2 linked regions of the Schizosaccharomyces pombe genome follow. The protein of the gene in region 1 interacts with the protein of each later gene in a pairwise test. Each region holds a gene or a part of one and is shown on either strand. Other genes may lie near its edges. The genes, in order: SPOM_SPCC663.09C and isp3.

Region 1 (3,986 bases):
ACTTCTTGAGCGGCTTCATTGGCACTCTCTAGAGAGGAGACATCTAACTTAATAATGTGCACATTGGAATGAGACTTGCTCCATTCTTGTAATTTAGTAGCAGCTCCAGGCTTGCGGGCACTTGCAAATACAACTGTTCCTTTTCTGTTGCTCAATTCCTTAACAAGAGAGAGTCCAATGCCTCGATTTCCTCCTGCAATAAAGTAAATTTTGTTGGTAGTAGACATATTCTAACACAATGTTTGAATGATCCTTGAATCCGTTTGAAAAGTGGATAATTTGGTGTCGGCAATTTATCATCAACTTCATGCTTATATACCAATTCTTCAAATCATTATGCTTACGTGATTTGAACCGTGAATTTTGATGCTTACATAATTGAATATACTCAGCGACAAGTTCATAAAAATTCATCGTATAGAACTTATTGTACTTTGTATTAGAAGACAATATAAATACATTTACAACCTATTTAGACGGTTTTTTAAACATATTCCCTTAATTCCGCTTTAATAAATTAATCAATTTCAGTTAAATTATTCTTCTGTTTCTGGTTTCTTTGACAAAGCATCATATAGATGATATGTATTTGAAGTTACTCACATGAGAATGCTGAGTTGCCAGTCGTATAGAAAAGCTTTAAATTGGGTACAAACAAACGACTCTTTAAATTGCTCCACCAAAAAATAAATTTATAAAAAAACAAGATAGCCGTAAGATGATCGATCACTCGGGAGTCATTTTTTGGACGATAAGCCTTATACGAATGAATACTCAAATTTGTTACATGAAACACATCTTTTAGATGTCCATGCTCACTAAATAGTTATGTTAAGCTTTTTTAAAGTTCTGAAGGCTTGTAAATATTTGTAAGGGCATGTAAATTCAACAAAAAAGAACGATTGTTTGAACACAACATCGTGCTGTAATCTAGACTGCAAAAACATCTTTAAAAAGGGGCATCAAAACCATCATGACTAACAAAAGATATGTCTAAAAGGGAATAATGGTCCCGTCATATCTATAAAAAGACCCGTTGTTTTCGGGTTTCAAATTGTCAACCACCTTAAGCATGGATGAAACGCTTTCTTCGGGTATGATAGTAACCTTTTTTAAGTAAGTCAGCATCTCGGGAGATGTTTCAGTAAATTTTTTGATAGCATCAGCATTCATATCAGTCTTTACTACTCCAGGATGAATGGAAATGAATGTGAAGTGTTCATCAGCTAGTTCGACACTAAGTTCCTTCATAGTGAAATTGATTGCTGCCTTGGACTGACCGTAGGCAGAGAATCCAGTAGCACGAAAGTCGCCCATTGAGCCGCATTCACTGGAAGTAAAGATAACCTGTCTGGTTTTTTTCTTTGTCAACAACGGATAAAAAGCTTTGAACACATGGATAGGTCCTAAAACATTGGTTTGATAATGAGCATTCCAAACTTCTTCAGGTGCTTCCATAACTGTATAGTAAGATTGACAAATACCAGAGTTCAACCAAAGAACATCAATTCCATCGACCGCCTTCGCAACGCTTTGAGCAGCTTCATTGGCACTCTGCTGAGATGTGACATCTAATTCAACAGTTTTAACATTAGGATGAGATTTGCTCCATTCTTGTAATTCAGTAGCAGCTTCGGGTTTGCGAGCACTCGCAAACACAGTCGTTCCTTCTCTACTGCTTAACTCTTTGACAAGAGAGAGTCCAATACCACGATTTCCTCCTGCAATAAAGTAAACTTTGTTGGTAGTAGCCATCTTTATAGTACAATCTCAAAGTCGTTTCTCAATTAGTTTTTGGTTAATAGTAACTGACACTTCCTTGGTGTTTTGCTGTACTTTTATTGATAAGGAGTGTTTGTTCGCTATTTCGTTTACGTGTGAAGAGCTGTGACATTTTGCACACGTTTGATTTTCTCAACCAAAAGCGTCAAATTTCATTCTACAAAATTCTATCGGTATTTGCTGCTTGATATTAACAGTCTTTTTATATGGGACTTGCATAAAATAAAAAAAGTAGAAGCCGTGTTAATTAATGAAATCGAAAATTTTGATTGTAGAGCGTAGTAAAGGATGAAAAAATTTTAAGAACTACTTTTCCTCGTTTTTGAAATCTTCCGGTAGAAAGAACTTGTCAGATTATAATAAAACAACTACAGAATCTATCTCATACATACATCGAAGCTGCAATTTTTTCTCAGGTTACTGGTTCACCTCTTAGGTCAATTTGCTCTACCAATTTAAACCCTCTGTAAGATAATATTTTTGTTGAGGAGAAAGAGAGAATCGTATATAGAGTGTCTTAGTAAGATTATATGACATGAAGTTTTACAGCATCTCAAGATTAGGCTTCTTTACGACTATATGACCAATACAAAATGGATGGAAATTTGCGAATAAAAAAATTCGCAAAGTTTACCTTATGGAATTAATATTTACCTGTTTACTCATTTGAAAGGAGCTTAGACCCTTAAGTTCCCCTTTAGCAATTCCTGAACTCATGGAAATGCTAGTTAAACTTTGAGCAAACCATTTATTCAATCCTTTCTCCCTTTTTACTACAGGAAAAGACACAGATTCAAATGTTTTTGAAATCTCCAACGCATCCGTATTTTATTTAACGTATATTAAGCGTTCCTTAAACATGCTTAAAATTAAGCGCTAGAGTTTCCGACATTTTTTTTTCTGCTAACAGTACTTTCGTACTTGTTCAATTGAAAGGTTTTTGCGCATTGCATTTATGAAGGTTCCTGCGTATTGGAAGCCGCGAGAACCAAAAAATGCTTTGACATGTGATCCACCTGTTCCTTATGACTTGCAGTCATCTTACCAATGGCAATCCATTTTGGAGCACGATACCTGCTATGCAGCTGAGGTATTTGACAAAATGATGATAGAATTAGTCTATCATCCAGAGCGGACAAGCAGTGTTATCATGCGAACAGACATAATTCTTGATTCTCAAGAGGATGATTCAATTCTAAACAAGCAGAAATCAGTTTTCGAAAATCTTGACGAAAGGTACCAAATTTCAAGGTGGATCGATCGTCGAATTATTCCTCGTAATACTAATTTGGATGCGACAATGGACCAAACGGTTGTTGTGCTACATGAGAAGCTTGAAAATGATCGTATATTAATGTACTTACCTCACCTGGACAAAAGTTTGGAACAGCCCTATAATCATCTTCCATACTATCATCCCGCAGTAGCTGGAATTGCTTTTCATTACAAAGGATCAAGTGTTGAGGTTTTATATTTAGTAGAAAAGGATTTTCAAAGGGAATTGTCTTCCCGTTTATTGCGAACAGCTCATATGCTTTTACTTGTTTTACACAAGCATTGCAAGGGGGCAGTGGAAGGGTACCAAAAACGCATGCTTCACGACACTGTTGTGGAAAGAAACAAGTTTCAAGATACCTATGTTATTCTGAAAGATAAATACGCCAAGCAACTTGTTGACAATTGGGTAGAAAAAACGGATCCTGGTAAACACGTTTTCGAAGATTTGGCTATTGCAGCATTTCTTATAGAATTGTGGAAACAAACTTATTCATCAAACAAAGAATTTAGTTTTGTTGATGTTGGTTGCGGAAATGGTTTACTTGTTTATCTGTTGTTAATGGAGGGCTATAATGGATATGGCTTCGACGCTAGAAAAAGAAAATCATGGGAGACATATCCCCTTTGGGTTCAAGTAAAGTTATACGAAAAAGTTCTTGTACCCTATTTTCTGCATGATTTTGAAACAAAGATTCCATTTCCTCAGCTGCCTGCCGGTTTCACTATGTCCGCTGCAAACATTCATGACGGTCGATTTTCTGAAAACTCATTCCTTATCGGAAACCATGCGGATGAATTGACTCCTTATCTTCCCATTTTAGCAAGATTAAATCAGAAATGCTATTTCATGTCGATTCCTTGTTGCGTTCATGATCTGACAGGTGCTAAAATTTCCTGGGCATTACCGAAACCTCGAAATCCCAAAC
Region 2 (3,746 bases), on another chromosome or scaffold:
CATCAACGACCTGTTTGGGCTGTTAGTAATAATTATTTATTCTGGATCGATTTAGCTTTATTGGTTTGGTAAGCTAATACGTAGTAGTAAATTTTTCGCCTTCAAGATTTTTACAACGCCAACGAAATAATTATAGTTCAACTATTCCTCCAATTTTGACCTACTGTATAAATATAGTGGGAAAAATTCAGTAATCACTATTGGCTTAGTTTGAGGGAATTTTAAACCACAGCTCTATTAGAATAATAGTAACATTAAATTCTTTCTTTTTTAGGGAACTTCGGTTTTCTTTGTACTTCGTGCAAATAAAAAATGCCGAATTTATAATTCTAAAACTTAGTGACAATTGAATTTTTTTTAAATGTTTCTATATTGTTAAGCAATAAACGACTTTAAGCTTTTCATTAAGCGAATGAGATTATTTTACCCAACTTATATTAATATAGGATTGATCACCACAAACGTTAAATAAAGTTGTCAGTATCACGCTTACGAATCCAACGTTTTTAAAAACACATCTAATATCATTTCGTCTCTCCTTATAGTAATAAAATTTTTAAGCGTATACGGCTATTAACCAAGTGATCCTTTCTAAAATGTTTCCATCACTTTCTGTTGAACTTCTGTTATTATTGCTCATAAGTTTTAAAGATTTTATAATATTATGGTGAAGAGCTGTTTGAATAACGAATCACCGAAATTTACTATAAAGTTGACCTCACCACTTTTGCTTTCAAATCGAATAGACGACTGAACTAGCTCGTTATAGTCTATTTTGTTATTTAGAAAAATTTTAAGGATATGCAATTGTAAAACCTAATGCTGAGTGTAATGTGGTGAAGTCAATATACAACGTTGTGATATTATTTCAGAAAAATTTAATTCAAACTAACCATATAACATCCTTAACCGAATTGTTTTTCTATCGAAATCAGCTTATAGGGCATGACTGTATTTACAAACTTTATGTTATACTAGAAAAATTATTGTTACAAGACATGGGCTATCTTAGTAACATATAAGAACCATAACCAGATAGTCACAAGATGTTCATAAAAATAATCAATTTGACATAAAAACAAAAAATCACTTTGCTAAACGTAAACACAAGGAATAAATTCATAACAATTAACAATTTTGAAAATTTTTATATCTGATTGCCTCAGAAAACGAAAATCTTTCTTCAAAAAGCCAACCCAATAATCGAATATTTTGTATATATTTGATGTATTTTATGCGATACAGTTAAAGATAGCCTACAACTTGTGTTCATGATGCGAACATTTGCCTTAAGCAAATGTTTTCAGAATCAGAGAAGACGTACTTAAAGAATTTAAAAAAGTAAACTAATTAAATGCAAACAAAACAATGATCCTTAATTCCATGTATAGCATAATAGAATTTGTGGTTGTTCGTCACAGTGTAAACAAAAAACGGCTAGTGTAGTAATCTTTACGCCCACGATTATCCCGTCGGCATCGAAACACTAACTTGACGAACAAAGGCACTAAGCAATCTAACCAATAAACCTCTAGGAATTGAATTTACATTAATGCTTTGCTTGAACGTAAACAATTGAAGCTTTGCGATTCGTGCCTTTATCAACGTATTTTTTTTCTTTTATGGGGACTTATAACTCTATTTTTAAAAATATTTTGTTTTAGCCAATCATGAAACTCCAAAAATGATTATACGTCATTTTTTTTAATAAACAAAACATGTGTTTATGCTGAAAGCATCCACTGTAAACAAAAAAAAAACTATATAAGAAAGGGGAAATTCCAACTTTTAATTCAGTTCTTACCATTTCTTTTTACTCACTTAACTAGAAATCGGTTTTTTTAAAAAAGAAAACTACAGGAGCAGCCATCAATCAAAGCATTTCTTCTTCAGAATACAGGGAAAGTCATTTCAACTTTTCTATCTTTAAAAGTATTTTTTTGAATTTTCTGTTCAAAAAAATCACACAAAAGTCTAACTTTAGTAAAACTTTTCAGCTTTAAAAATGGGTCTCGGAAATTTGTGCTCTTACAAGCAAGATGATAGCTTAGATATTTTGCAAAAGAAGGTTTTAATTGATGCCTTTAACAAAGTTACTATTGATGGAAAGCCCAATGTCCAACATCAGCAGCCAACTTACTGGTATCCTCCTCCTCCTCCTCGTCATCACAAGGAACACAAAAAATCTCACCATCATTGGGAATATAGCAGTGATGATGATAGCAGTGATGATGAGGAGTCCTGTGAGAAGAAAAAACCCAAATGCTGTGAGAAGAAGAAACCCAAATGCTGTGAGTCTGAACAGAACAACGGTTGCGGTCGCAGAAACCAACTTGCAAGGCGCTTAGCATTTCTGGGTAGCTTTGGTGATGGTGACTGCGATGGCTGTAACGAGGCTTTTACCGTTACTGGTCCCATCACATATTTCAGAACCTGCCCTGATCCACTCACAGGTATAACCCCAGCTGTAGCTGCTGCAGCTGCTACTCCGGCGGCAGCTGCTACTCCTGCTACTCCGGCGGCAGCTGCTACTCCTGCTGCTCCTGCCGCATAGAGCAAAAATGCCCTTTATGCAAGGAAATAGAGTATTGCTGTTATCCAAATTGAGATAAAGACATTATACCATGGAAAGCACCATAACTATCAAAAACTCCCTAAGCTACTCTTGAATGTTAAAGCGGTTTCGATTACTTTCGGAGCAACGTTGTTTGTCAGTAGTTACTTACAAAGTGCATCTGGCGTTTTGAAGTTGACTTTAAGGAGTCGAAAATTTGAGATTTTGGAAAAGATAATGGCAAAATCCATTTTAACGTGGAATCCAAGTCTGTATCAGACAACACACTTTTATCAAAATAACTAATTTCCCACCTTTCTTTAGTTATACTTGCGCGCTGGGTTTTTGTCTTTTAGATAGATGTAGGCTACTCGTGTTGATGTTCACGGAATAAAATTGAGGCTGCTCTTTTTTTTTTATACAGTGTACCTTTTCGTATGTTTAATTTGTTTGTCCATGATTATTTGTAAATTAAAAAATGTGGTTGAATTCGTTAGTTGGTATGAAAGCGTTAAATATAAGACTATACTAAGAAATGAGATATGCGTAAGTGGTCGCAAAACACAGTACAATAAACAAATTCTGTAGAATTAGATTCAGCAACCAACTTAATAATTAATTCAACATCCAAAGATTTTTACTATTCAAGTTTAATCAATTAATTTACCCAATCAAGCTTCCTAAGTACGATAAAATATAAAGTGCATAAATGATCGGATTGTAGTATTGCTTAGAGAAACTACTTAGAGGTTTATATGCCATTCAGTAATTGAACATATTTGATTTAACTATTCAGCGGTTAACATTATTGAACCAACCATAAAATAAAATCAGTTTTCCTTAATATGATACGTTATTCTGCAACCTTTATTCAATTAACTTCTTTCGGCTGAAAGGATACTAAAAACATCCGCAGGTCATTTCTCAAGCTATTGAGCACACCTAACTAAGCACGAAGGTTAATACGACATTATATTGAGAACTTGATATTAAGTACCAGATTCAAACTAATAATCAAATTTATTATAGCTGAAACAATTCACAATAACATTTTACCCTTTAATAATTCAGATGATTAATCTTCATTGTGTACATTTTTTAAAAAATCAATTCGTACTTTTATATGTTTAAGGAAATCTACATGAGTTGACAAACCAACAAGCAGGTTTCATATATTTCAACTACATATTTC

What was found.
Region 2: the proteins of SPOM_SPCC663.09C (region 1) and isp3 interact in a two-hybrid assay, tested with the Schizosaccharomyces pombe proteins (one large-scale study listed by BioGRID).

What each region holds. Positions count from the first base shown.
Region 1 is NC_003421.2:1,648,535-1,652,520, forward strand, and holds SPOM_SPCC663.09C (dehydrogenase), read right to left. Parts: upstream 1,807-3,986; 5' UTR 1,756-1,806; coding exon 994-1,755; 3' UTR 506-993; downstream 1-505. Other genes in the region: SPOM_SPCC663.08C (short chain dehydrogenase ), read right to left, coding at 1-227; trm44 (tRNA (uracil-O(2)-)-methyltransferase), read left to right, coding at 2,738-3,986.
Region 2 is NC_003424.3:93,995-97,740, forward strand, and holds isp3 (protein isp3), read left to right. Parts: upstream 1-1,795; 5' UTR 1,796-2,005; coding exon 2,006-2,554; 3' UTR 2,555-2,972; downstream 2,973-3,746.